Alligator mississippiensis: one gene and its partners. The main gene of each other region encodes a partner of the protein of the gene in region 2 in a complex. Links are inferred from orthologs where the notes say so. Each region holds a gene or a part of one and is shown on either strand. Other genes may lie near its edges. The genes, in order: checkpoint protein HUS1, RAD9A and RAD1.

The links.
Region 1: the proteins of RAD9A (region 2) and checkpoint protein HUS1 are in contact, whole or in part, in a crystal structure (PDB 3GGR), measured with the Homo sapiens proteins. The link is inferred for Alligator mississippiensis from reciprocal best matches to the Homo sapiens genes RAD9A and HUS1. Residues at the interface, in NP_004575.1 of Homo sapiens: Leu157, Pro158, Pro161, Val176, Ala186, Lys191, Ala192, Met193, Val194, Thr195, Glu196, Met197, Cys198, Leu199, Gly200, Asp203; in NP_004498.1 of Homo sapiens: Thr84, Asn87, Arg90, Ala91, Lys93, Thr94, Phe110, Ser121, Ser123, Ser126, Arg127, Ile128, Val129, Thr130, His131, Asp132, Ile133, Pro134, Ile135.
Region 3: the proteins of RAD9A (region 2) and RAD1 are in contact, whole or in part, in a crystal structure (PDB 3GGR), measured with the Homo sapiens proteins. The link is inferred for Alligator mississippiensis from reciprocal best matches to the Homo sapiens genes RAD9A and RAD1. Residues at the interface, in NP_004575.1 of Homo sapiens: Leu76, Ser82, Val83, Ser86, Leu90, Lys92, Leu112, Phe116, Gly117, Val118, Arg119, Lys120, Thr121, His122, Asn123, Leu124; in NP_002844.1 of Homo sapiens: Glu165, Ala166, Ser168, Glu169, Asn195, Ala196, Gly197, Ser198, Ser199, His200, Leu201, Asp202, Tyr203, Pro204, Asp206, Ser207, Glu211.

Annotation. Positions count from the first base shown.
Region 1 is NC_081827.1:159,819,128-159,829,508, reverse strand, and holds the start of checkpoint protein HUS1, read right to left. Parts: upstream 4,104-10,381; coding exon 4,052-4,103; intron 948-4,051; coding exon 820-947; intron 306-819; coding exon 129-305; intron 1-128. Other genes in the region: uncharacterized protein LOC132250309, read right to left, coding at 8,652-9,608. UniProt on the Homo sapiens protein: Component of the 9-1-1 cell-cycle checkpoint response complex that plays a major role in DNA repair. The 9-1-1 complex is recruited to DNA lesion upon damage by the RAD17-replication factor C (RFC) clamp loader complex.
Region 2 is NC_081825.1:176,210,805-176,220,711, reverse strand, and holds the start of RAD9A (cell cycle checkpoint control protein RAD9A), read right to left. Parts: upstream 5,477-9,907; 5' UTR 5,426-5,476; coding exon 5,344-5,425; intron 1-5,343. UniProt on the Homo sapiens protein: Component of the 9-1-1 cell-cycle checkpoint response complex that plays a major role in DNA repair. The 9-1-1 complex is recruited to DNA lesion upon damage by the RAD17-replication factor C (RFC) clamp loader complex.
Region 3 is NC_081826.1:279,960,477-279,969,767, reverse strand, and holds the start of RAD1 (cell cycle checkpoint protein RAD1), read right to left. Parts: upstream 4,367-9,291; 5' UTR 4,328-4,366; coding exon 4,097-4,327; intron 1-4,096. Other genes in the region: BRIX1 (ribosome biogenesis protein BRX1 homolog), read left to right, coding at 4,734-4,868, 5,724-5,835, 6,529-6,572, 8,058-8,128, 8,784-8,833, 8,943-9,016, 9,138-9,188. UniProt on the Homo sapiens protein: Component of the 9-1-1 cell-cycle checkpoint response complex that plays a major role in DNA repair. The 9-1-1 complex is recruited to DNA lesion upon damage by the RAD17-replication factor C (RFC) clamp loader complex.

The DNA of each region.
Region 1 (10,381 bases), on a different chromosome or scaffold from region 2:
CTAAGCACAAAAAGCAGCAAGGTCCTACCAATATCAGGTTGTTGTTTTCAGACTACTTGGAACAATTCACAGAAAGGAACATCCATGTACTGTCACAGGAATCATTTAAAAATCCTTTCTGCTCTTACCAGTTCCACAGCTACTGTGAGGCAGGGGCAGTGCTTGTTAGTCAACTTGATTTTCACTGTCTTGGCATTCTGGGCTGTTTTTAAAGCTCTTGATAGGTTTTCAGGCATCAGCTCTAAATAAATTTCATTGTGCTCTGCTGCTACTCCTTCCATCTGGAACTCATCAAAGAAGTTTCCCTTATAAAAGCAAGAAGAGAGAAGGAAAGAGTTTCAAACAGAGCAAGTTACAGTTTGCAGAATTACAGTACTGATCTTTAAATTCTGAAACAAATGTGGAAAGGCCAAAGTTCCCCTCTGCTCCATATGCATGTTCTATAAGAAATAGACTTTGTGCACACATAGGATCCCCAAGCATGGACCCATTTGCAAAATTAGGGCTTGCCCTGCTTTTGCCATTCGTAGACAGAAAGTCACTCTTATCCATTCACCAGCACTCAAAAACCTGAGACAAAATAGATGTTAAGATCACACTAGAAAAAGAATTCAGACATATTAAAAAATGTCATCTATGAATAAAAAAATCAATCCCACAATGACCTGCATGCTACTGAAGTGTTTATAGGTCAGGTTCCTACTTCTACAGATAGCAAGAAACACTACCTATAATGTTGAATGCACAGCTTCATCAAAGATTGAAATATATTAAGTGTTTATATATGATGGGATGTCACCCTCGTTTTCTGGCACTTACCTGACTTAACTCACACCACATGCTGACCCCTCCATTTGCTACTTTGTCAGTGAGGATGAAATAAAGTTTGCCTGGTGTAAGGCGCAGAGTGCAGGTCTTGGCTAGTTTGGCAATTGTGTTGATTACACCTATGGATAAAGGTTCATTAAGGAACTTCTAGCATAGGAGAAAAAAATACGTTCATAAAGTTGTGGCTTGCAGTTCCATAGGAAAGAGCATGACAGAAATAAACCAATGACAAGCTGAAACTTCTGCTTTGTACTATCTGTTTACTTATTTATTCAACTGATGTGACAACCTTCCCAGCAAAGGCTCAGGGCAGCTTACAAAAAGAGAACAGAATAGCTTATGTAACAGGAGAAGGAACAAAAGAACAAGACAAGCACCAACATAAACTAGAAGTGCCCCAAACAAGACCCCAATCTAGGTTTGTTTGCTACGTGTCTGTCCAGTATAGAAAGGTCTTACACTGCTTCCAAAAGATGTCCAGCCTTGGGCTGTCCTTTCAGTTACAGAAATGCCAAGACACCTGTCTGTATTAAGATTGCCTTTTGTTAAATTTGACCTTTCTATTTTAACCTGCAGATTTGAACACAAACACCTTGTTAATCATTAATATCTATATTTTCTTTTGTTACTGGTTTAAAGAACTAACTGGCTGCTTGTACAAGACACAGGGATTTAATTCAGTTTAGCTCTCCCTAAATTGAAACAGTAGGTTTTTAAAAACACTGCTTCAATTTAGGCAGAATTAAACCGAACTAAACCCCTATGCTATGTACACAAGGGTGGGAGCCATCTCCTTACCTGCCTTTTTGGCAGCAGGCATGGGGGCCAGCTGCCAGTGGGCTAAGTGGTCCCTGAGCTGTTCAGGGGGCCCCCAGGCAGCACCTGCCCACTGGCACCCAACCTGGGAAGTCCCGGGGGGCACCACAGCCATGAGGGAAGCACCGGGCCCCTGCACAGCTCAGGCAGACAGGCTCCGGGGAGGGGGAAGATCAGGCTTGCTGCTTTTTTCCTTTAGTGAAGCCTGCCTGCACAGGCTGCCACCAGGTCCCACAACCCCTGAGCTGCGCGGGGCCCACCAAGCCCTGAGTACGTCAGCTTCCAGCACCCCATGCACTGTTGCACTGTTAGGTAGCAAACTAAAACACCTCGGAGGTGTTTTATCTTGTTATGTACCAAAGTCATTTAAAGCGGAATACGCTGCCGAACATGCAAACAGTAACACCATTAAAGTGGTGCAAAAGAGTATTTAAGCCACTTTAAATGTCAATTTTGTGGCGTGTACAAAGGCCCACTGTGCCCATTAAAGGACATTTTGAGAGTGAAAATGTAGGTCTTCAGACTCTGACACACCCCTAGCTCATGATACAAATGTTCACTGCACAGGGATGCCCTAGTCTAGTTCATCTGGAAGTCATTCCACTCAATCCAACCCCATGCCCCCACCCAATGTGGAGCTGTACTTACTGCCCCTCTTCCACCCCACCTGAGGGAAAGGTGAATATCCAAATGCCACCTGGGGCTGGGGGGAAAGGAAAGAGTGGAGGAGATTGGAAAATTATCTCTGCCCTCAGGATTTCAAACCCTCGAGTGAAAAAGAGCAAGTCATGTGAAAGGAAGGGTTTTGGAATTTTTATTTATTTATTTTACATTTCCTAAAGGAGAGGAAAAATAAACCAAACAGGCTCCCCTAATAGCCTAACTACCTCATCCCCAGCCAGTGACATGTATGGTTAGAGAGCAGAACAAAAAAAAAAAAAAGGCCTTTGCTGGGAGGCATTTTTTAATTTGCAAGAAAAACACTGGCATTGGGAAGGGAGTTCAGGGTCAGGACAGCACTTCTCAGCTATTATAGATGCGAGGGTTGTTCGTTAGATTTCAGGGTGCCCTTGGGAATTTTTTTTTTAAATATATATTTTGGATAATTTTACGTGTTCCTGGTCAAATTGGCCAGATCAGTTCCAAATCCTTTGAATTGTTCCAAAACCATACGTGGCCATACTACCGGCAAGTATCCTCCACCCCAGACTTTTCAGCCCAGGGCTTCAGATGCTTCCAAATCCTTTGACGGGCATCCTACATGCAGGCCCAAGCCCGGAGGCTTGGGGTTTGGATGCCCCTGAATTTTACTTGCCCTCAGCCATACCGCTGCAGGAGCAAGCTAGGGAGGAGTCTCCCGTTTCATGGATTTCATAGATATTTAGGGTTTGAAGGAACCTTAGTAGATCACCGAGCCTGACCCCCCTGCCCTGGAGTCAGGTGACCCCAGCCAGGTGCTTGTCCAGTCTCCTCTTAAAGACCTCCAAGGTGGGGGAGAGTATCACCTCCCTCGGGCGCCCCTTCCAGATTCTGGTCACCCTAACGGTGAAGAAGCTCTCCTGATGTCTAATATAAACCTGCTCTCTCAGTTTCTGGCCATTGCTCCTAGTTACTCCAAGGGGTGCCCTGGTAAACAGAGCATCTCCTATTCCTTGCTGTGTCCCCCGAACGAATTTGTAGACAGCCATTAGATCCCCTCTCAGCTTTCTCTTGCGGAGGCTGAAGAGATCCAGGTCCCTCAATCTCTCCTCGTAGGACCTCACCAGCAGGCCCTTAACCATAGGAGTTTCCATAAAGTCAGGATGTAGCCGATATCCTCGCCAACTACGAGGCTCTGGTAGGGAGTCCCGCCCGCGACAAACGGCCATTTGCGATGCATTTTAGCTCCGGTATCAGACCAGCGCAGTGACTGCGCTCGACCTTAGCCCAACAAGGCTGATTTTCACCTTTTGGACAGCAGAGCAACTCCCGAGCTCAGGAAGGCCACAGCGGGGCAGGGCGGTGGTGCCGCTATCGACTCCACTTGGAAACCGCTGGGGCTTGCCTCGTGAGCAGGGCATAGAGGCCAGTCCGGTTGTCCTCTGTGGATACGAAACCCCACGCCTTTCCGTCCTCTTATTTTTCTCTTCAAGAGAAAGATAGGGGGCGTAAAGGCGTGGGGTTTCGTATCCACAGAGGACAACCGGACTGGCCTCTGTGACGGACACCCTGCTTGGGAACCGTGCCTGCGCGCCGACTACCCGCAAAGGCTCTCGCGACACCCCGGGGTGTTGCGGCCGTCAGTCCCGGCCTGCGCGAGCAGGGGCGGGCACGGACGCTCAAGGCAGTCCGGGGGGGCCACGGCGCCCTGGAGCAGGGGCCGGCCCGGGAGGGGCGCCCCCAGCAAGCCTGACCCCGGGGCACTCACGGGTGAAGTGGTTGAGGCAGGCGACGTCCAGGATCTTGGCGCGGAACCGCATGGTGGCGGCACGCCGCGGGCGACCCGCAGTCCCGCGCGGGGCAGGGGGCGGCGCTCCCACACGCCACGCCCCGCCCGAGCCGCGCTCATTGCAGGGCGTCGGGCCCTGCTTCCGCCCCGCAGCCGGGCTCCTCGCCGGCTATGGCGGCGGCGCGGGTGCTGGTGTCGAAATGAAAGCGAGAGGACGGGCTGTTCCGTTTCATTCGGCCCAGCTCTGGGGCGGAGGTCGAGTTGGACCCGCTTTCGCCTGCCGGGCCTTGTTCCTCCTCTGGTGCCGCCCTGCGTTTCGGGAGCTGTTCTACCCTTGGCCCAACCCCCCAAAAAACGGCCCTCAGAAAGCCTCGCCTCTCGCCCCCTGTGTGGCACCGCGCTGCTGCAGCATAGCTCTGGCACTGTATTCATAATCGAAGGGGAGACGCCAGGTATGTGGGTCCATGAAGGCAGCTTTCCTTAGGCGCTCTCCGGGATAACTGTTCTTCTGGCGTGGTTGAGCACATGCCGAGGGGTTGGCGAGCGCTGACCAGTGGTTGGCGACCACCCACAGATGCCACTAGCAGTGGCGACGGCAGCCAGCAGCAATCGGAAACCACCCACAGACCCTGCCAGTGGTGGCAAGTAGTAACCACCCGCAGGCACTGCCAACAGCGTCAATGGCGCTTCTGTTGGGGTGCACCGCCGATCTCAGGGTGTGCATGCACCCCCTACACATCACCAATGTTAGGGCTTAATGCCCATTTTATGGAAATGAGAGGCTCCTCCCTAGCTTGCTCCTGCAACCATATGGCTGAGGGCAGGTGACACTTGGGGGCATCTGAACCCCAAGCCTGCACATAGGATGCTTGCCAAAAGACGTTGGAAATATCTGAAGCCCCTGGTGGGGGTGGAGGATGTTTGCGGGTTGTAGGGCCACTTATGGTTCTGGACTGACTCACGGATTTGGACTTGATTTGGCTGATTTGGCTTGGGACACAAAAAATGCCTTTAAGAAAAGAAAAGAATGGACACTACAGGGCTGGAAATGCAACCCGAAAGAGAGGTGGTGGCAAATAGGGCCTGGGGAAAAATCAGAAGACCAAGAGAAGAGGATTATGGATGGCTTCAAATAGAAAAGCGAACTCCATATAGAGCAACACAATACAGTAGCCAGGGAATGTATGGGGGAAGGGAGGCTTCTGCTTCCTACCCCTTCTGTGCTGTGCTGCCACCCCTCACCCCAGTCTGCTGCATGCCTCATAGAGGCAGCTTGTGCCACTTGTACCACATGTTGGCCAGCCCTAGATGTTATCCAAGACCCACCTGTCACTCAGGGTAAATGGGAAGCTCCTTGCAGCACACAGGTGGTAAATGCCCATTCGTCATCACAGAGGATCCAGACTCTGCCTATAAGTTGCTCTGCCCTTTTGGTTCCTGCAGTGCATGTTCTGTTGAATTGTTTGCAGCTCTACTATGTACAGTCCAGTGTCACTGTTTCTTTTCTTACTATCGTGACCGACAAGGACTTTTTGCAGTATCTTTTATTGGACCAGCTGGCCAGTTAGAGAGCTGTTGGACAAGCAAGGAATCAAGTGTCCTTCTCCCAGGTTAATTCTAACCCTTAATAAACTTTGGTGTTTATCTGTATTCGTTAACATTCTTTTTTCATTGGGACTGTCCTTGGTTTACCATCACATATGTTGGTTTTCTATTGATTTCCAGATGTTAACTGTAAAAAAAAAAAAAAAAAAATTCAAGCAATTAAACAGGAAGCACATTGAAGCAAAGTGCTAGTGGAATCAGCATGTATTTCATTTTGCTCTTGTGCCCCCTGTACTGTTCATAATCCCATAGCTATTACTAGTGAAACCAGCTACTTGAAAAAATACTCACTTCTGAGTACTGTGAAGCTGTAGGGGCAAGTCAGTGAATCACAACAGGTTCAGTTCGGTGGTAGGGTCAGTTTCCTAAACTTCTGTTGAAGTCAATATGAGCAGAAGGTGTAAGGCATCATGTAGGCTGTACTCTGGGGGGCATTTCAGATGCTGTTTACTAACAGGGTCAGGTTCTTAGCCATTAAATTACTCTTTCGAAGGCACAGGTGCACAAAGGCAACACATTCACATTAGCAAGGCCTTTCTAACCAATGCAGCACAACTGGGGAGGACTAGTGATCCTTATGCAAGCCTCCTGGAAGGTATCAGTGACCTTTTACAAGAGAAAAGTATACTACAGATATCAGCAAACTAGATTTGTGCAGGTACCTACTGAATCTGATCGTGACACTTATTCTCTGGTGTCACAGCTAAACTGCAGCCCTGCTGCTGGTAATTAAGGTTGTTCAAAAATCTTCCTAAGGGAACAGGCAGTGGTGCATCTCAGGGGTGACAGTGCCCTGAGTCTGATCAGTGAATGCCAGCTACCTGGGCTCTACATACATAACCAATTAATAGAAGGCAGGGTAGAGATGCACCTTATAGACCTAAAGTGCAGCATCTCATCTACATGAGATGCTTTACTGTGCAGTAGACTAATCTACTGCACAGTTAAGCATCACCATCAACATGTGCATGGCATTTACTGTGCAGTAAATTAATCTACTGTGTGGTTAGCTAGTACCTGTAGATACAAGTACTGTACTAGATTAACTGTGCAGTAGCTACTATGCAGTAGTACATGTGTAGATGCTGAATGGGTGCAAATTTGCTCCTGGTCAGCCACACCAGCAAGGGGCCAGCCTCCTGCCTGGAGCAGAGCCATGTGGCTGGGAGTTCCTCCAGCCACGTGGCAGGGATGCCTCCATGGCTGGCCTCCAGGCCCCATGCCTTCTGCTGCCTGGCACTGTGCCTCTCTGCCCCGGGCACTGTGCCTCTCTGCCACAAGCATGGACCAGCCACAACAGCACAACAGACACCAGCTCTGCCCCCCAGGGCCCATGCCTCCAGCTGCCTGCCTCCTGGGCACCATGCCCCTCTGCTGCAGGCACGTGGCAAACCCCAAAAGCACCTGGAATCTGTACCTGAGCCCCCAAGATCCCTGGCAACACCTGGGATGGCAGCATCCCTTACACTGGAGACATCAGCTCAGGGTCCCAGTTGGGCAGAGCAAGGGAACAGCAAACTCATAGCAGTCTGGGGCAAAGCAGATGTGCAGCAGCAGTTTGGCGAGGACACCCAGGCAAATGCCCACATCTGTAAAGCTATGGTAGCCTGCATGTGGGAGCACTGCCGCATCAAGATCAAAACCCTGCAGGCCCAGTGGGTCTGCATCACAGACCACTGCCACAGGACTTTGCCCTTCACGCGGTAGCTGGATCACATCCTGGCCATGAGGGACCCTGGCACAGGCTGCCATGTGTACTCTGAGCGGGCCAGGTCAAGCCCCGGGCCCTTTTCGTTGCTCTGCACGCAGGCTGTGGCTGGCAACCCAGGCAGGCCGGGTCGGAGAGGGCGGGCGCCGAGCTAGAATTAGGCACAGACACGTAACGGTTGATTTTAAGATTGTTTACTTACACCGAGATGGTCGCGGTGCAGGCTGAGAACTTGCTTGAGTTGCGGTTACAACAGAAAACACGAACACACGCGGAGTTTGCTAGGCTCCACGCAGACAGAACTCCGGATGTCCAGGACAAGCGCGCATAAAACTCGTTGATACGTCTTATAGAAGGTTCCGTTCGAAGACGGGAAGAGGTGGGCGGTGGATCAGGCTGTCAAACTCCTCTGAGCAACACACAGGGTTTCTATTACCCTGCCGCGCACACCCAGAGTCCCCACGAGATGGATGTGGAGTCCTCTTTGGCTTGGGCAGAAACTGCTCAAGCCTCTTATACGGTTAGCAGGCCAATCGCTAGCCGCCACATGGGAATAATTTAGCACTAGCCAATTGTGGGGCACGAATTTGCATGCAAAGAGCGGGAACTCCTTTGCACCGTGCGTTTCTGTGTTGCAAAGAAAATGCACCCTGCAAAGACCGCTGCAAAGTGGCGGGAACATTCCTTTGCACGCGGGTTCTCTGTGCAGCAGAACTTCTCCGTGCCATGAAGCTGTAAACCCACGAGGATAATTCTTAGTGCCGAAGCACACACAAAAAATCAGACCTTTGGGTCATGACATCCCCCCTTGCTGAAGGCACAATAGAATTATACTTCAAACCTATCATCCGGGTTATTAACAGCTCTGTCAATGGTTCGCGAAACTAAACGAGCAAAAACAAAATCAGTCAACAATAAAAGTTCGTCCTCAAGGGATCGAATTAAATAATAGCCGGCACACACACATATACATAAAATCATATTCATAACAAAAAACTGGACGATCATGACTTCAGTGGGCGTCATGGTGGAATCGCGCGTCAGGCCTTCGTTCCTTTCGGTGTTGTTGTCCCTCTCGGGGCCTCTCTCCACCACGCACTCCGAATCCCTGATCTGTAAAAGAACTCTCTTAAAATGGTTATTCCACTACTATTTATAAAATCACACAGGACCGCACGATAATGCAGTCGATTAAACTTATCATCACTATTAAATACAGATATGTAAACACGATTCTATACTGGACAGCTCTCTCTCTTTTCCGACTCAGCAACTCGACGAAATCGTCGAGGAGTCCTCATCGCTTTCTTCTAGATAGTGAAAACCTAACTCGTAGGCTAGCTGCCATTGTCCCACGTCTCCCAAGATCCGAAGCTGTCTCTTATTAAGTCCAGAACGCTGCAGGAGGAATCCAAACACGTATCTCTCCTCTTGCGTTCTCTGGCGTAATACTGGACGCTCGGATTCGCGGTGTTTCGTGTTCTGAGCCTCAGTCGGGCGTTGACACTCCCGATCACTGGATAGTCTTGGCTCCATTAGGACGCGCAGTCTTGACAACTGATGAAGGAGACTACTCACAGGATGATCGACCAGTGGGTTCAGCACAATCCGCAAAACCACGATGTTTCTTTGCCCGTAAACCTTAAGACAACTATCTATGCTGTCGAGAGTCACTGGAACGGTTCCAGGGTCTCGCAGGTGACGGTGAGGCCATGGTCGCATTTGTTGGAGCGGTGTTAGTCCCAACGTGCATTCTCTTGGGTTCCAGGCGCAATATGAAACTCCGATAATAGCCAGTACAAGCTGTTCTGCACCGGTGTGCTCTGGTCGTCCATCGTGCCATACGTGGGCCTTTTGTTCGATCACTCCTGCCACAAGCGCTGGAATTGGAATAGGCCAGTGGACGCTAAACGCCACCATGTCGATGTCGGTGACATGTCCCCTTCTCCATGAAGCTTGTCTCACCAAGAAGCTTGCTTCTTCCTGGTCCAGGAGGTCGGACCCAAGTTCCACGACTAGACGTCCTAACCACACAGCCAGAGTTTCTTCGGATCGGATCCTGGATTCTCTACACAAATTCTGCAGTTCGGCTCTGGAACGAGCGTAATAGGTGGTAGCATGAACTGCACTCTGCGGACCGATGACTGGGCTGCTTGATGCTGCAGGCTGATCAATTTCTTCGCGAGTTGTCGCTGTTGCTGTTTCTGTCGGAGCTGTAGTCATTGTTACAGTGGGGGTTGTTGTTGTTTCAGGCAGGAGGGGAGGATGCACTCCTCCGCTTGACTCCCCCTCCCTTCGGCAGAGGGGCGTGGTCGGCAGAATCCACGCTGCGTCGCTGGGCAGAGTCACCGGCCGAACCCTCGCGGGCTCTCCCGAAGCTCCATCCCTCTCTTCCGGTTTCTCCACGCGGTCTTCCCTCTGCTCCGTGCCATCTTGTGGGGCTTCTTAAAATCCCCTCTCTCAGCTGCTTCTCCGACCGCTCGAACGGCCATACGCAGCTGGGTCTTTAAGCTTAAAGTTTCACTCATCAGATCAGTCATAGTCTGAAAAGTTGCATTTAATTCTCCCCCCTTGTCTCACCGTAGGACCACTCTCTCATTTACGGTGCGGTCCTCCGTCTCCGGGTCTTCGTGGAGCTCGGACGGACGATTGCGACCCCTTAGTCCTGGTATTACCATGCAAGGGGAAAGCCATCTGATCGGCATCGGCTCTCCCATCTCCAGGGCACACCGCGAGCAACGGACACACTCCCGGGTGGGGGTCGGGCTTACTGCAGTCACCGGGTCGACTTCGGCAAGGGTTACACTATCGAGGGGCCTACACAGGACCCGCTCATCACTCATGATACACCCGAACGCCGTGGGGTGAAGATACACTTCTTTCCCTTCTAGGGCTCCGACTTCGGAAGCTCTTTCTTCTCCCCTTAGCGAAAGGTGTCCACGGACACATTTCCTGCCCGTTCCGCCCGCCTGGTGGTACATGATGTGCGCCTCCAG
Region 2 (9,907 bases):
GCAGGCTGCCAGGGCGTGTGTTACCCACAGAGCCAAGCTGGCCAGGTGGAGCCCTTTGCTTTGTGAGTATCTGCTCCCACGCAGAGGATGTCCCAGGATGGTGCCATGGAGACAACCAGTGTCCTAAACAATGCAGCCGCCAGGCAGAGGAGGCAGGCTAGACTACAGGGCAGGCTTCTCAGACATACTTCCCTTGAGGACTGCCCGCTGTCACGGGGCTGTCTCTTCCCTCATTCTGAAAGACTCATCTCCGTGGCTGAGCAGAGACGCTTAGCAAAGGCCCCTGGACATTCTGTCTGCATTTTATCCGTTACTGGCCTGGAAACCACAGACAGGGCCCAAGAAGGCCATGGCATGCCTGGTTTCCCTTTCTCTCTCTCATTTGCATGGCATGTAGGCTGTGAGTGACCTGTCTCCATTGCTAGCCTGCAACTCGTGAGCTGTCATTCAGACCAAGCCCTTTGTGATATACAGAACAACTCTGGTACAAATGCTTCACTGTGAAATAATCTAGGTCTGGGATCCTGAGTGAATAAAAATCAAGGCAGCCTGCAAAGCAGAGAATAAGGAATCATGCACAGGAGGAGTCTTGCCTGAGTACTACAAAAAGGCATAAGAGGAAGTTGGTGCTAGAAGAGCATACAGTCACATGAAGTGCACTTCATGGTGCTGATCTGGAGCCTCAGACTGTTGCAGGCATGAGGACATTGGTTGGTTCAGGAAGCTCCCAGGAACAGTACCTGTCTTGCAGGTTCAGCTGTCCATGTCAACAGGAGGCATTTGTCAGCGCAGGATGGTATCTTTATTCCTTTGCTACTATTGTTCTTCACCACATGCTAAGTGAATCCTTTTGCAGGCTGAGTGCTGGATCCCATGTAAGAGAGTAGTCCCCAAGAAATGAACCTGTTGCTGAACAGGCAGAATGTGAATGCCTTGTGTAAGTAATGTCCTCTTCCACTGGCACCCTGATGGGTGGGACCAGGGGACTGGCCTCAGCCCTAACCTGATACTCCAACAGATAGGATTGAAGCAGCAGCTGCAGTCATAGGTTTCACTCCATGTGCGTTGTAATAGCACCATTGCAGAGGGATTGAAATGGTTTATGCTAAAGCAGAAACTTCCTTTGTACTCTCTTCAGAGGTGGAATTGTAAGGAGCCCAGGGCAGCCAGGGCAAACCAACTGCTTCATGGGTAAGAGAGGAGCCCCATCTGCCATCTGCGAGGGAATGCCCAGGCCTGAACTTTATAGTCTCCAAAGGTCTCAGTAAAGAACATCCAGTGAGCAGTGATGCCAGGGGTCTAAGCCTGGCTTTCTTCACGCAGGCTCACAGAGGGGGGAACAGCTTCCTAAACTGGAACCCCTGCCATCAGCAGTGCCTGGCAGCTGCCCCTCTCAAACAGATCCTGAGCAGACCAAGTTCATGGAGCAGTCATGTATCACCCATACACCAGGGAGGCTGTGTCCTACATTTTGATATAATTTACACAAGAGGCTCTGGGATGCACCCAAAAGCTCAGGATATAGCTAAAGTCTTGGAGAAGTGACCCATGCATCAGTGCTGATCAGTTTCTGACTATAGGGCAGTTCCTGCCCACTAGCCTCCAGCTCCAAGGCTGCTGAGAGACCTACCATGACCAATCAGACCAGCTGGCCCCCATCTAAATTCTGTCACTCATCCCAGAGCCTGCCAAGTAGAGCACCACTGCCAACAGCCATGTCGGCATCCAAGCTGGAATGTGTCCAGGCTCAGCTTTTTTGTTACCAGCCCTGAAAGGAGAGGATCCAGACAGCACCCCCAGCTGTTTGGGAAGAAGTGAAAAGTCTTCTGCCTGAGTGAGGACAGACTGTCTTCTCTACTTATATCTCTGTGAAACAGCCATACCAGAGGCTCCTAGCAACCCTGTAGATTGCTCAGGTGCTGCTCCATCACACACCACATCCTCCTGAACCAAAGGTCCCAGCTTCCCCAGCCCAAAACACAGCAGTCAGCCCCACTGACCCTGGGAGGGCTGGTGAGAAAGGCTTGGGCTGGCACTTCATAGCCACGAGGCAGCCAGACTGCAGGCAGCCCCTTGACCTTTGGCCCAGCTGCTTCAGCTCAGAAAGATTAATGGTGACCTTTGGACACAGGGAATCTTCAGGATACTTGAGCACCTTTTTCAACAGCTCTTAGCTGTTTGGAGGCTGTTTTGCCAGCCCACTGAAAGGGGAAGCCACGTATTCTACAGCACAACTAAGAAGGCGACAGGAATTCCAAGCAGACTAGGTGGAAATGTACCAACAAGGAAGACTGGTCCCACACTGAAATGCAGAAGGGCCTGTGAAGGGCAGGTGAAGCATCCACCATACTTATTCTATTGGCTGGGGAGTGTGTGGGGAGACAGGGTCTCTGGTGCAGTGAAGGTAAGAGTATAAAACAGTGGTCTCTGGCTGGGGGGAGAGTGTTGGGAAAGCTACCTCTACGGGGCATCCCAGCTACTGCTCATGCAGTCTTCAGACTAAGCCTCTTTTCCCCCCGAGGAGTGGTAGCATCTTGTACCAGTGAGAGCAAAGTGAGATGCTGAACAATGTCATTACATCCCAAGCCCTGCTGTTGTCTGATCCCGTATCTCATGGGAGGGGACTGTGCTGATGGGGTTAGGATAGGGCTGTCTTGGTGGAGACAGACTCTGTTCCACTAACCACATTGGCATGACATGGTCTATTATGAAGTCAAGCCAATGAGCCCTTCATTCTGTGTCCTGGGGCCTGGCAGTGGGGAGCACCTTTTTAATCACTTTGTGCTTTGCATAAAAGCTGCCCCTGACTTTGAGGATTTGCTCTGTAGCCCTCTCTCTGTCTGCCCCTTTCCCCACTTCATCTGAACCAAAAAAGTGATGAAAAGCCCACAAGCTTTAAGTAGAGAAATCAGAAACATGGATTTTGAATCCTACCTCTCCCTCCCTCATCCAAAGAGTTTATTCTAGGGCAGTGGGGATTACTTCCCTCACAGATAGTCAGATATTACTAGGCATGTAGGCATGCAACTCAGTTCTTGCAGAAAAGGACAACTTTAGGGAAATGTTACAAAGAGGCACCTAAGCTTTTTTCTTTTTCATTCATGTGTTCCTCTTTCTCTCTTTCTTCCCCACCTCCCCGGTACCTGTGTCTGGCACGCATCTATGCTGAAAGCTGGTGTCGTAGTGTCTGTAGTAGGGTAAGTCCCCAGGCTTCCAAATCAGGAAAATTTTCCTTGTCTGGGCTCAGTGTGGCATTGGGTCTGTAAAACTTTCCTGGTGGCATGTTGCATTGCACCATTCTTACCCACCAACTCCAACCAGTTTAAAAAAAGGCATCTTCTTGGATTGGGTATGAAACACACACAGTTTGAGGCAAGCATTCTGGGCTCACGTTTTGCCTGTTAGTGTTGCAAAGGGGAAAAAAAATCCCAATTTTAATCAGTCTGCAACCCACATTTCCCTACAGTCAGATAAAAAGCATCTACAAAAAATACAGGACGGAGAAATATGTGTATAAATGTGAATGTATTACATGCTTAAACTTGTGTTTATCTAAGAAGAAACACATAATTGCGTACAAAGACATTATATAGCGTACTGTAAAGATATCAGTATTTGCGCCAATCCTAAAGAAACTTAAACATATTACAGTCTTTGTACATGGTGCAATGTAGACTCCTTTAAATCTAATGTATGTGTGTCTGTACATATATATAGATGAATGATATTTAAATAAGTTGCACATTACAGCAGAGTTGCTGCTCAAGAAATAGTGGAAAGGTTGAACTATTCAACCTCTTAGGGTGAATTCTACCAAAGAAAAAATAGTTTTAGACATTTCAAACAAAAATATGGGGAGGCTGGAGTTTATTGAAACTATTATTGAAAAATTATGAGTTTTACCTTTTGGAAGTACCAAGAACTGTTAACCTAAGACAAGTTGGTTTGTAAGTGCCTTTGTTTTAAACAAAGCATCAAGAGAATGCTTGCAAAAATTAATACATTTCCCTTCCCAAAGTTCAAAGGACTGTAATAGTTTTCCATTTTCTATAAAGTGTAAATACTAGACACGTTTTAACAACAGAAGATAAAAAACATGGTTCACAAATGAAAATAATTTTAGGTTCACTTATTGTATTTCCTTCTACAGAACAAAAAACCCTTCCTGCTTTTCTTGTTTGAAAAAAATTTAAATATTTAGTAATGTGAGTAAACAGCATTTTGGGTTTTGTTTTATTTTTTGCTTTTTGCCATATCCCCAACATACCAGGTTTAATAACCCTTGATAGTTTATTTTAAATCTGAAGTTTATTTCCAAAGCTCTCATCTAACTAGAGGGACACCCAGAGCAAAGTTTGTCCTAATCAGATGAGGTTAATTGGAAACAAACTCATTTTTTAGCTGTTGTAATATACAAAAATAAATATTCATGTTTGTAGATCCTTGAAGCAAAAAGCCTCATGCATCTCTAGTAAGTCAGAATGCTAAGTCCCAACACAAGTGAGTTTTTACACAGATCTTGAAAATTCTTAAAAGCCCCTTACTAGAGCAGCTGAACAGAGAGGGGAACCGTCCCAGAATTTGGACATCAGAACTACTCAGTAGTGAAGTGAGTTTCGTATGTATTTTGCAAGCTGTGGAGTGGGATTTTTGCTGGAGTAAGAACTGCAGGATTGGGCCCATAGCTCTATACAGCTCTTGTGCACACAGTTAATAGAAGTATAGATGAAAAACAATGCAAAAATAGAATGATGCCTATGTACGTGTCTTCTGAACCCTTTGGACTTTTTCAAAAGCACTTAAATCTACATTGTGCCTATGTATGATATATACATACATACATACATAATATGTATGTATATACATATTACCTATAAATTTTTATGTATTACATGTAATAATTTCCTGGAGAGAGGGGTGCTATGTCTTTTTTAGAAGTTATTCACCTGTTTTAGGGAAGATTTTTTAAAATTTTTGCATTAAGAACTAACAACATTTTTACTACTAAATATTTTAAATTGGCAATGAGGAGTGAGTTTAAAAAAAAAAGGGTCAAGCAGATGGGAAATCTCTGCCTCCTTGTTCAACTTTTAAAGAAGTTGGAGCCTAATGCTGAGTCACAATATGCAATTGAAAGATCTTGTGTTGAAATGGGGCTGTGATGCCTTTTGCTGATTAATGAATCACAAATCTAACCCCCACAGCAGGAACAAGGCAAAAGTAAGAAAGAATGAATGAAAGAAGAAAACTTGTGAACTTTAGTAAAGAAGGAAGAATGGGAAATAACAAACCAATCCCCGAGAAAGGGCTCAACTTTCTTTTCACCAAAATGTTTGCACTCACCCCCTCCATCCCATTCTGGTGTCTGTCGCCTGGCGAAATGCTTAGCAGGGTTAGTCACCTGCCGATGACTAAACGTCTGCATGCTGCTTCCTTTCTCCCTTGTTTAGAGGCAACAACAACACAAAAATAAAAAACAAAAGCTCAACAATTGATTGTGTTTTGTTTCCCATGAAAGGGCAGCAGCAGAGGGAATAAAAAATAAACTAGCACTGCTTTTCCAAGTCCCGCGTCTGGCATTTGGGCTGGGGCAAGGGCAGGGGGCTGGCTTTGGGCTTGGATGTTTTTTCCCCCTTAGGGAAAAACTTTTTAAAAATCTGGAATGGGGAGGGCTGTACATGACAGCAAGAAGGGGAGAGACCGATCCAGCTTCTGTTCTTTCTTTCTATATCTATCTATCCTTTTTGTAACCATCAGTATATCTTTCTTCCTTTCTTTTCTACTCTATCTACATATTCTTCTGTTTTGTTTTTCCTATCTTTCTTTTCACCCGTCTGTACATTTCCATCTTCCCATCTGTCAATCTCTCCTTTCTTTCTTTCCATCTCTGTCTGTATCCTTCTTCCTTCCTCCTCACCCCCCTTGCTCCCCCCATGACACACCAGTGTTTCTAACACAGGGTGGCACCGCTTGCTTACCTCACCCCCTCTTACTAAAACTTTCTTTTGTGAAAAGAGAATAACCAATCTGCCTCTACCTCTCCTCCTCTCCCCCCTCCGTACCCCCCTCAGGGACTGGTGTTTCAGTTTGTGGTTAAAGCTTTACACGTCAGGAAAAAAAAAAGAGGGTTAAAGAATATCCTCACCAAAAAAAAAAAAAAAAAAAAAAAAAAAAAAAAAAAAAAAGCCAAACCCAAACCAAACCCTAAATGAGTGGGATTGGCAAATGGGATTATTAATCCTGGCCAAAAATAAAGGACCGCAGACTCTGTGCAGCCCCCTCGGAGAAAGGAAGCACTAAATCACAAACCTACCTTCAAGGGCTGCAAGTCCTGAGTGTAGCTTTGGCTTTACCAAATGGATTTCAGAGCAGGTAGGAGACCTCTGCACCTTTCCCAACCTCCCTTCTCTAAAGGCAAACCAGCCCTCCCCCTCGTCTTTGCCTGCTGCGTCCCATCTCCCCTCCCAGCACCCCCTTCACTCATAACTCTTCGGGAAACACTTTAATTTTCTGCAAGCCTTCTCCAAATGCCACTAACAAAAGCTTTGCAATAGCCAGAGTTCTGGGGTGTATGTGAAAGGGGTGGTATTCTCTCCTCCCCTTTAATCCACATTTTAAAAACTTCTCTCTTTCTTTTTCCTCCTTTTACTTTTAGAATAGCAAATTGCCCTTTAGCTCAGCTGCTCCCTACCTTTGCCCAAAGCTGAAGAGCCATTGGGGGGGGAAGAAAAATGAATGGAGCCTGCCCTTGTGTACAATTGCATCAAATACATTCTTGAAAGCAACCTGGTTCTGCTTAACACTTGAATTTAAAAAAAAAAAAGCAAGCAGCTTGGAGAGAGGGTGTATGCAATCTTTTTTTTTTTTATTCTTGCATTCCTGGACACCAATCAAAAGAGCAAATCAAGGGAGGTGGAAAGGGGGAGAGAGCAAGAGGGAGAGAGAGAGAGAGAGAGCATGTTTAAAACTTTGCACACACGCACCAAAAAAAAATATCCGAGACAGCTTTTTCCACCTAACACCCAAGCAAACACAAACCAAAACAAATAGGGAAAGAGGAAAAAAAAGAGAGAGTGAGAAAGAGACAGGGCAGAACAGATCAGGGAGAAAGGGAGATTTCACCATTCGCTTGGGCTTTGGGTTTAGAGTAAAAAAACTAACCAAAAAGTTTGTCTTCTATTGATCAAATTCTGCAGCCTTCCTTCCCCCACCCCAACCCCACACTCTGAGTCTACTATGCTATATGTTGCTGGGGAGATTTCAGGTAAGACCAAAGTGTGTCTCTACTATTTTGGCAGAGGATGGGGGGGGTGTAGGGGCGGGGGTCTTGCTGTGCGTGTCGTGTTTTTCTTTTCCGAACCGCTGCTGATTTTAATTTGATTTGATTAAAATGTCTGTCTGGCTTTGTGATTGATTTAAGACTTTCCCCCTTTTTTCCTTTCTCTCATTCCCTCTTTTCCATGCATGTTTGTGATTACTGGGGAGGAAAATGCCGCTTAGCACGGAGAATTAAAATCCAGAACTGACAGAGAGAAGAGGAAAATGAAAGTCACCGGGACCTAGACAGGGCAGAAATATTTTTTTCCCATGGCTTGATTTAAGCACTTGCACCATTTAAAAAAAAAAAAAGCGAAGTATTTAATTGTTAATAGCAAGGTTTAAAAACATTCAAACATAAAAAAACCAAACAGCTTGAAGTTAGGTTTTGGGAACCCAACCATATGCTTCCTTTTGGAGGGGAGGTGGTCACCCTTAGAAATTCTCCAGAACTATTCTTGGTGATGTAGGGATTTTTTTTATTTTTTTTTTTTTTGGTAATCCTTGGAGTTTTAAAATTTGCAATTTAGTTAGAAAACTGCCTCTTGTATTTTGTTACTTATGGAAGGGAGAAAAAAATGCTTGCAGCAAAAGGACCAGCCCTGGAGTAAGGGTGTAATTTTTATAAGCAATGGGGATTTTGCAGACAACACTCCAGCCTTTCTGGAAAAGAGGTTACATATAAAATAAAATTAATTTTAAAAACAACCCTTAAAAGGTCAAAATTTTGTCTTTCTGGACAGACTCTTTTGACAACACCGCTGTTTGGTTTGGTGCACAGGATGAGACAAGATTCTCTTCTTGGATGGAGTCGGTTATTTGAAAAACAAAAAGTTTGTATTCATTTTTTGTTCCAGACTCCGGAGGTGCTGGAGTGAGTCAGGAAGGGCATAGTGGTAGAGAAGGACCGGAAAGAGTGAGGATAGAAAGACTTACTGGATTTATCCAGCTATCTTTGTGTTTATCTCTCCATCTATCTATCTAGTGACAGACAGGCACACAGAGATATGGGGTGCAAGACAAGGCAAGATTTGGTTCTTCAGATCTCCAAGAGATAGAACTCAAATACTCTGTGTACAGTACCTTGAGAAACATCCTGTCTGTCTGCTTTGTAACTGGCAAGAGCTGTTTTTTGGCCAAGACTGGAGAACTATGAAAATCTCTGGACAGACTGAGGAGGGAAAGAGGAGATAAGAAGTGGAAAGAGAGCAATATCTCAAAGAAGGAGAGATGGAGAAGGGCAAGTGTTCAGCAGACTCCCACCTCATCCCCATCCACTTCCTCCTCCAGGTGGATGGGGCTGGGGAACCTGGTGCTTCTCTGTGTTTGGGGGAAGGGAAGGAGCCCCAAAACAAGCTGTGGCGCTCGGCTCTTCAAAGCCCCTAGGCTTTGTCACTCATCAGAAACACTTGGATCCTGACAGGAACTGATGTACCCAGCTCCTATTTAGCAGGCTCTGTGAGGGCACGGTCCCTGCGCACATCTGGGCTGCATTAGCCCCAAACCAAAAAAAAAAAAAGCCTCCAAAGGGAAATGCAGAGGGCTGTCCTTACGGGGCTGGGCTTGGGGAGGATTTATTCCCTGCTAAGTGGCACATTTTTTCATAAATTAAAACCCTTTCCCAATGGTACCTGCACCTACCCACACTGGCAAGCTCCCTACATATATGTGCAGGCACTCTCTCTCTGTCACACGCACACACTGCAGCAGACTGTTGGTCATTGTACATCCAGCAGATTCTAGCAGACACACACAGAAATGCAAACACATAAAGAGGCAGATTCTTCGCCAGATACACAGTCAGACACTCTTACATACACACCCTTATATACCCACATAGAGGCAGACTGATAGACGGAGTTGCACACAAACTCGCACGCATAGGCAAACTCCCTCTCCTTTCCGTATCCATGTATGCCAACATAAACACCCAGACAACCAGATGGAAATACACTAATTCCAATCCACATGCAAGGAGGGACCTGCACCAACACAAACAGTACATACAGCCAGGCTGCATCTGGAGAGCTATTCAGCAGTGGTACAAGTGCCAGCATCAAATGAGTCCTGGAACTTTAACATCATGTCACCAAGGCTTGCTTGTGACACCATGTTTGTGTGTGTGTACACATGTGTCAGTACCCTGTTTGGCATAGGGTTTCCAGGACACTGTATTGAAGAAGTCAGAGCCCTAACTGTATTAGCTCTTGTTCTATTGCCACGCACAGGAGTTGAGATAGGGCACTAAGTTTGCTCCCGTTTCATAGATTCATAGATTCATAGATGTTAGGGTCGGAAGGGACCTCAATAGATCATCGAGTCCGACCCCCTGCATAAGCAGGAAAGAGTGCTGGGTCTAGATGACCCCAGCTAGATACTCGTCTAACCTCCTCTTGAAGACCCCCAGGGTAGGGGAGAGCACCACCTCCCTTGGGAGCCCGTTCCAGACCTTGGCCACTCGAACTGTGAAGAAGTTCTTCCTTATGTCCAGTCTAAATCTGCTTTCTACTAGCTTGTGGCCATTGTTTCTTGTAACCCCCAGGGGCGCCTTGGTGAATAAATACTCACCAATTCCCTTCTGTGCCCCCGT
Region 3 (9,291 bases), on a different chromosome or scaffold from region 2:
GCGCGTGGCTCTTCTCTGGACTCTCTCGAGCTTCTCCACATCCTTTTTGAATTGTGGAACCCAAAACTGGAGGCAGTACTCCAGCTGCGGCCTCACTAAGGCCGAGTACAAGGGGAGAATGACATCCCGGGATTTGCTTGAGAAGCATCTACGGATGCAAGCCAGCGTTTTGGTCGCTTTACTAGCCGCAGCATCGCACTGCAGGCTCATGTTCATCTTGTGGTCAATGATGACCCCCAAGTCTCTTTCTTCCACAGTGCTAGCCAACATAGCAGTGCCAAGCCTATAAGGATGCTGCGGGTTTTTCTTCCCAAGGTGGAGAACCTTGCATTTATCGGCGTTGAACACCATCAGATTCTCGTCCGCCCACTTGCTGAGCCTGTCCAGGTCAGCCTGGATCACCCGCCTGTCTTCTGGTGTGGATGCTTTGCCCCAAAGTTTGGTGTCATCGGCGAACTTGGCCAGTCCGCTTCTGACTCCAGTGTCCACATCATTAATGAAGATGTTGGACAGTATGGGTCCAAGGACAGAGCCTTGGGGGACCCCACTGGTCACAGGACACCATGATGAGTGACTTCCATCAATTACTACCCTCTGGGTCCGACCCCGGAGCCAATTTTGCAGCCAGTTGATCGTGGAGGACCCAAGGCGACAATTGGCCAGTTTCTCTAAGAGGCGATCATGGGAAACCAGATCAAAGGCTTTTTTGAAGTCAAGATATATGACATCAATCTCATCTCCCTTGTCCAGGTGATAGGTCACCTGGTCGTAGAAGGAAATGAGATTGGTCAAGCAAGACCTACCCGCAACAAACCCGTGCTGGCTATCCCTTAAGATGTTGGCGTCGGCCAGTCCATTAAGGATGGCCTCTTTAATAAACTTTTCTAAGATCTTCCCCGGGATAGAAGTCAGGCTGATGGGCCTATAGTTAGCCGGATCCACTTTCCTCCCTTTCTTGAAGATAGGCACCACGTTGGCCTTCTTCCAGTCTTCAGGCACTACACCAGAGCGCCAGGAGTTTTCAAAGATCCGCGCTAGAGGCTGGGCTATGATGCTCGCCAGCTCCTTGAGTACCCTGGGGTGAAGATTGTCAGGGCCGGCTGACTTGAAGGTATCCAGCTTCTCAAGATGTTCCTTCACAAAGTCAGCATCAATGGAGGGCAGGGGATCACCCTCACCCGGACTTCCTGGCCCTGTAGCGGGCATGGGCGTCCCATGGGGCTGATGAAAGACCGACGCAAAGTACCTATTTAATAGGTTGGCTTTTTCCTGGGCGTCAGTTGTCAGTTGCCCCATCTGGTTCAGCAGGGGTCCAACGTTGCCCCTGCTTTTCCTCTGGCTCCCCACATATCTGAAAAAGGACTTTTTATTGTCCTTGATGCTCAAAGCTAGTTGGAGTTCAGTTGCAGCCTTGGCTTTCCTGGTCTGATCCCTACAGGACCGGACCAGTGCAGAATAATCCTCCTTGGAGGTGACTCCCATCCTCCATCCTTTGTAGGCCTTTCTTTTTAGCCTCAAGAGGTCTGCTAGGTCCCTGGAGAGCCAGGGGGACTGCTGTGCCCTCTTGCTGCCTTTCCTCCGAGATGGAATAGACTTAGTTTGTGCATTGAGGATCGCTCCCTTGAGGAGCAACCACACTCTTCTTGAACTCCCCTCTCTCCGTGGTCATGGTCCCTTAGGGCCTCACTGACGAGCCTCCTGAGCTTGTCAAAGTCGGCTTTCCTGAAGTCAAGGACTTGCGTGTTGCTGACTGATTTGCCAGCTTTTCGGCTGATGGTGAAGGTGATCAGCTCGTGGTCGCTGTCACCCAGCTTCCCATCGATCACTAGGTCGCCAACTAGGTCATCCCCAGTAGCCAGTACCAGGTCGAGCAGCGCTTTGCCTCTCGTTGGCCCATAGACTTCTTGAGTCAGGCAGAGGTCATCCATGCACGAGAGGAAGCTTTGCGACCGCTCAGATTTTGCTGAGCGATCCTCCCACGAGATGTCTGGGTAACTGAAGTCACCCATGATAACCATGGTCCTGGAGCATACGGCCTCAGCCAGTTCCCGGGCAAACTCCTGGTCAAGCTCAGGACTTTGGGTGGGAGGTCTGTAGTAGACTCCCACCTTTGTGTCCCCTGTGCCGTGTTCCCCACGGATTTTAACCCAGAGGGTCTCCAGCCGTCCACCCTGGTCGCCAATATCGGCTTGCAGGGACGTGTAGCTTTCCTTAACATAGAGAGCTACACCCCCGCCCCTGAATGGTCTGAACTACAGACCATTCAGCCTCACCTCAGTCTCCAGAAAAGTTATGGCGCAGGTCCTCAATCGATTTCTAAGGACTTGGAGGAGAAGAAAGTGATCAGGAACAGTCAGCATGGATTCACCAAGAGCAAGTCACGTCTGACCAACATGATTACCTTCTGTGATGAGATAACTGGCTCTGTGGATGTGGGGAGTGCAGTTGACATGATATACCTTGACTTTAGTAAGGTTTTTGATACCATCTCCCACAGCAGTCTTGCAAGCAAGATGAGGAAGTATGGGTTGGATAAATGGACTGTAAGATGGACAGAAAGCTGGCTAGATTGCTGGGCTCAGTGAGTAGTAATCAATGGCTCAATGTCTAGTTGGCAGCCAGTATCAAATGGGAGTGCCCCAGGGGTCAGTCCTGGGTCCAGTTTTGTTCAAAATCCGCATTAACGATCTGGAAGATGGGATGGAGTGCAGCAAGTTCATGGATCACACCAAGCTGGGGGGAGCAGCAGATATGCTGGACGGTAGGGCTAGGATTCAGAGTGACCTTGGACCAATTGGACAAATTGGAGGATTGGGCCAAAAGAAATCTCATGAGGTTCAACAAGGATAAGTGCAAAGTCCTGCAGTTAGGACGGAACAATCCCATGTACCAGTACAGGCTGGGGCTGAGCTGGCTGGCAGCAGCTCTGCTGAAAAGGATCTGGGGGTTACAGCGGACAATAAGATGGATATGAGCCAGCAGTGTGCCTTTGTTGCTGAAAAGGCTAACAGCATACTGGGCTGCATTAGTAGAAGCATTGCCAGCAGATCAAGGGAAGTGTTTGTTCCCCTTTGTTCAGCAGCGGTGTGGCCACATCTGGAGTACTGTATCCAGTTTTGGGCCCCCCCCCCATAGAAAGGACATGGACAAATTAGAGTGAGTCCAGTGGAGGGCTACATAAATGGTGAGGGGGTTGAGGGACATGACTTATGAAGAGAGGCTGAGGGAATTGGTCTCATTTAGTCTGGAGAAGAGGAGACTGAGAGGGGATTTGATAGTATCCTTTAACTACCTGAAGGGTGGTTACAAAGAAGATGGAGCTGGACTGTTCTCAGTGGTGATAGATGACAGAACAAGGAGCAGTGGTCTCAAATTGCAGCAAGGGAAGTTTAGGTTGGATATTAGGAAAAACTCTCATTAGGAAGGTGGTGAAGCACTGGAACAGGTTACCTAGACAGGTGATGGAAGGTTTTTAAGGCCCAGCTTGACAAAGTCCTGGCTGGGCTGGTCCTGCTTTGAGCAGGGGGCTGGACTAGATGACCTCCTGTGGGTCCCTTCCCTTCCCTTCCCTTCCCTTCCCTTCCCAGCCTAACTGTCTATGATTCCATGTCAAGAGGACTGAACTGAGCGCTCTCAAGTTAACCACAGGAATCATCTATTGATCCATGACCTGAAGTACGATTCCCTAAAAGGAATGATGCCTGAATGCGGAGTACGTTGAACTCCTGAAATAAATTAAATGCCAGCTATTAATTACACTTGTAAGAAACTATCATAAAATATATTTTAAGGGAGGGGGGGAGGGGAAGATGAGCATGAGTTACTTCAGTAAAGACAAAGAAGAGGTATTTACTGCAATGGCATTAGGGAAAAGGAAGGAAACAAGGCTGAGACTCTTAGGATGGCCTGCCTCCAACTTGATGACCCAGCTCTCGCTGGCGAGTGGGTGACTTAGCGACCCGTTTACAGTAAACGCGAACACTTATTTGCCTATTTTGGGGGTACGGTCGTTTTTCAGCAAATACGCTCATGCTGAGCTTCCCAGGGGCTCATCTCCTCAAAGACGCGACCGCGCGGAACGGGGCCGGGCAGTGACCTGGATGAAGGCAGAGGCCTGCAGGCACTTGGCGCTCTCCACCGTCACCTTGAGGCCGTTGGCGGTGGCCACGCACGTGGCGACATCCCGGAAGTGCACGGCCCGCAGCATGGTGGACAGGTGCCGCGCCTTGTCCAGGCTGGCAACCAGCACGTAGCGCGCCCCGCTCCCATCCGCCCCGGCTCCGGCCCCGGCCCCGGCCCCGGCCCCGGCCGGCAGCAACAGCGGCATCACAACCGCGGGCTGGAGAGAGCACTTTACGGCCGTCGTAAAAAAGAAAAAAGGGGCGGCAAGACGTAGGGGCTATACTTAACGACCGCCGTAAAAGGCACGGCGATTTACGGCCGTTGTAAAAGCCGGCCGCCAGACGGGGTTGTGCTTTACGGCTGCTATAAAACGACGCCCGGTGAACGTGGGGATGGTGCTTTTTGGCCTATCCCCTGCTGTTTTACGGTCGTCGTAAAAGAAGGCCGCCGGCTGGAGTAGGGGTGCTTTATGGCCATCGTAATACGACGTGTCCAGTGTGGATACGAACGTCACAAAGCGCCCACCACACGGGAGGCAAGCCATAGAGAGGGAAGTGGTTCAGCGCAGAGCGCCGACTTCCGGCGTGGAGAGGAAGCGGGGTGCAGGCACGATGGCGGCGGCCAAGAGGAAGCGTGGGGCGGGCGCGGGCCGGGCCGGCGCGAGGAAGAGAGCGCGGGGCACGGCCGAGGGGGCGCGGCCGGGCCCGGCCAGGGAGGAGCACCGCGTCCCGGCCCCGGTCTCCCAGGTGAGGGTCTCTTCTCCCTGTCCCCGGGGGCGGTGGTGCCGCGCGGAGTGAAGCAGGATGCGGCCCCGCTGCCCCTGCCCGGCCCGCGCCGCCTCCTGTGCGCTGTGCCCGGCCTTGCTGGGGCTCCCGGCCCCCCTGCCGAAACCGGGCCACCTCCGCCTCGCCTCGCCTGGCCTGGCCTGGCACGGCACGCAGGGTCGCGTCCCTTGGGGAGTCCTGCGGGCCGCATGTGGCCCGTGGCCTGGGAGTTGAGCCCCCCTGGTGTCCGTGGGCATCGGTCCATTTCTGATTGCCAGGTGCCCAAGTGTGCGGCCGGACGGCAGCCTGGGTACGGTGTCAGGAGCGCAGCTACTCTTGGACCAGTGTATAAAAAGAATCCAAAAAAACCCCGTTTTTCTTGTAAACCCAGCACTGCGTAAGAGAGCTTGTGACTTGACCGTAAGGTCTCTTCTGGGCAGCTGTTGAAAGCTCATCTTGCTTCTGGATCAACAGTGTTGATTTTGGCTCCAAAACGTGTGCGTGTTGTGTGTAGTGCTCAGGGCCTTTGTTTTTGTGATTTCTTATTGGCGTATCCAAAGGGACGCTCATCCGGGAAATCTTTTGTGAACCTCTTAAAACATCAGTATCTAGGTGTAGCATGGCAGATGGCTGTAGATAGTCCAGTAGGATGGGTCAGGAAATGTATGCAGAAGCTTATAATAAATCTGCAGCCTGTCACAAAAAAATAGATTTTTAAGTGGAAGCTTTTATAGAAGTGCATTACTCTTTTAATAGGTTGAAAATGACTGATTTAGTACAATTTTTATTTAATGTTGGAAACATCATATTTTCACCTGAGCTTTATATTTCTTCTAGGGAAAATGGAAAAACAAAGAGCGCGTACTAATTTTTTCTTCCCGAGGAATTAACTTCAGGACGAGACATCTGATGCAAGACCTGCGAACATTGATGCCCCACTCGAAAGCAGGTAGTGTTGATGTTATCCATGTCTGACTCTACTTATATTATCTAGATTAGTTTTATACCTTTTAGCTCCAACTGCCTGCCTTTTGACCACATAGTTCTCACAGCTGGCTGCATGGTGGTGTCCTTATTTACTCTTAAAAAAACCCCCAAAAAGCAAAAGCTTGACCATACAAACAGTATGGTCTTTGGGAAAGTCACGTACACCTCCATTTGGTAAGCAGTCACACCTATTTGCTTTGTCTCTGGTTATCTCCTTGGCTTTAGTCAAGCTACTTGCTTGCATGCAGTTACAAACGTTCAGAGTATTTTGCACAATTGGGATTTTTCACTGGTATATGTGAAAGAACTGCTGCAAATTGTGATCCACTTCTAGCACCGCAGGCTGCTGCTGCCTTCTTGTCTCACTGCAGTCTTGCAGCAGAGTCCGTAGAGCCCTTCCTGATGTGCTCCAACACAGGGCTGGGTCCCAATCACTGGCAGAACAGAGGGTTTCAGAATGAAAGTCAAGCATAGGTGTGAAGTAACAGTGAAAACCAGTACTGATAAATACATAATTGCTGAAGATAGATAGTACATGAACTTGTAATTATATTGGGTGAAATATGACTTCAGCTTCTTTGAAGTGTGTGTGCCTCTTGGCAATATGAAAAAGCATATAAGCCTACTCAACAACACTTTTGTTGTTGTTTTCCAGACACTAAGATGGACCGTAAAGACAAGCTGTTCGTAATTAATGAGGTAATCTTGTAATTCATCTAAAGCTTGAATTTCTGATGAAACCAAGATACGGTACATGCACCAAGTGGGAAGATAGGTGAACTCAAAGAGAACTGTATTATACTGCATGAAGATACAGATCACCCTATTTGGTTTAGTTTGGGTTTCTTCAGAGGCAGTATAACTATTTAGGGAAAAAAGTTATTCTCCTGTATAGAGGTATTCTTGTTTAATTCTGACTCTGAAAAGCAAGACTAGTAAGTCAAATAATTCTGATTGTCCTTCATGTTTAGAGCTCTCATTGAAACCAACAGAAGTGCTATCCAAGAAGGCTTATAAGATGGAGCTCTGTGTTATGAATTCCAAGTATGCCATGACAACAAATACTTTGAATAACAAGTGTAACAAAAGGGTTGAAGGGAGGACAGGGGTGAAAAAGGTGGCTGTCACAGCTGCTGTTGCCAAAAAATAAGATAGACATAGTCATGTAAGTAATTTTCTAAAATACTTAAGTTTGTTTACAGATGGCATTGTCTGTACAAGGCTGAAGCAGGTGGTGAAGAAAAGTGCATAGAACATAGTTAAGGAGTTGGGTTAACCCTGTAGTACAAATGGATGCGCTAACAGAAATACTGCAGAGTAATCGGAGCAGTCTGGGGTCTCTTTACAGATAAGATAAACTGGTGGCATCAGAGGGTAAAGTGACAAGAGACTGCAAAAACATGTCTGTGGCTTTGCTCTTGGTAAAGAGACTTCTGGGAGCAGGAGCCCGTGAACCACTGCTCCACACTGATCCTGATGCATGTAAGGTGGTCATACACTGAACTCTTCTGTTTCAGGGTGCTGGAATAGCTCTTGGTTAGGAAGAGTAGGCTAGTAATCCTGTAGTTGCTTTATGTGGCTGCCTCTGCTGATTTTGTTGCTTAATTATGTTAAGTACCTTCCTGGGTGAAAATTGCCATTCATGATCTTTAAAATGAGGTTATTTTGAAATTGTGAGCTGATTATTGATTTAAAAAAAAAAAGACTTCATTTTAAAAACAGGAACCTGTATAGGCTAGAAGCATTTTGTTCTGTCACTCCATGACCCAACCATGAAAAATGCCTTACAAAAGGTTTTCCTGCAGTTTAAAGTTGGGAAAAGTAAGTAACAAATAGGTTGACTAACTGACTTAAATCCATGACAACGGGCCACTGGCAAAGCCAAGACTAGAACCCATATGTCATGGCCCCTGATGCAATGCCCCATGCATACACAATCCATGAGACTGCTTGGAAATACATTGTATTTAATGCTTTTCTGGCAAGGCAAACTCCAAAAGCCTTTTGAAGAGGCTGCTAATTTAAATGAACTGTTCTGCAGCTCTAGGTATTAATAAGTACTGTAGGATCTTCAGATTTGTACCTATTTATTCCGGAAAATTATTTTAGGGACTAATTTGGAAGGTTTGTGAAAAGGTCTTCAGAGCGTTACTCATGGTTGATTTGTCACATGTATTCATACAGGTTTGTGAAATAAAAAACTGCAACAAGTGTATCTTTTTTGAAGCCAAAAAGAAACAGGATCTTTATATGTGGTAAGAGAATACATTATACTTTATTAAATATCTTGGTATCGTTTCCATAGCTCACATTTTAACTAGAGTCCTGATTAAAGTAATAGTTAAATTCAAAGATGTAGAAGAAACTGACTCTCCACAAATGACCCATTTTAAGGGTATCTGCAGTCAAAATTAGTTGAACTTGCTGTAAGTGCGGAAGTACACAGTAGCAAAATGACTTCTTTAACCTTTGTTTGGTACTTTTTAAAATGAAAATAAATTTCACAATTACATTCCCCTACATACTGGTTTCAAAAGTAGATATAATTTTTAATTTATTTGAAGCTGCCAAAGAATTTCCAGTTTACCTTACTGGATGTCCGTAGAATTTTAAGCTCCGCTTCCCATAGCTGTCAGGACCTTTAATATTATATGGGAAGAGAGCCTATAGTTTTAGGTTTATTTATCATTTTAAAAAGCAAATGTACTTCAAATGCTTTCTGTTAAGTCTCATTGTTTTAAGGTCTACTGACCACAGTGCTCGCAATTTGAAGAAAAATATCTAAAATGAGCTGACTGGCAGTTTCAAACCACTTAAAACCATTTAGATAAATTGTTGGATGAGAAGTATTATGGAATTATGAAGTGTGTTTCTTGCTACAGTGCTATTAGCTGACTTTTCTTTCTGCAGGCTTTCAAATACACCCCAAGGACCATCAGCCAAATTCTTGGTGCAGAATAGTAAGTCAAGGTTTCAGGCTATTGCTTTTATATAGGTTCCTTCCTTCTTCCCCCCCCCCCCCCCAATCTTTTTTTTACTGAACACTTAACCTGTTCCAAATCATTGTAGTTCACACACTTGCAGAGCTGAAGATGACTGGAAACTGCTTGAGGGGGTCGCGGCCTCTTTTGTCTTTTGATCAGGCAAGTATAATGTTTCAGATTTGCTTGACTCTTTTTTTTGTTTGTTTTCTTGTTCTCTATACCACTGCTGCTTTTTTTGTTTGTTTGTGTGTGTGTGTAAAACTGTATTTTCCTCTTACAGGCATTTGATCAGGAACCACACTATGCTTTGTTAAAAGAGTTGTTTATTCAGGTTGGTATTAGGTATTTCTTGCTTCTTACAAACCATCTTTCTATTAACATTTCAGTTTTTTTAAATACTGAAGATTACACTAATATATTTTTGCGTAGGCCAC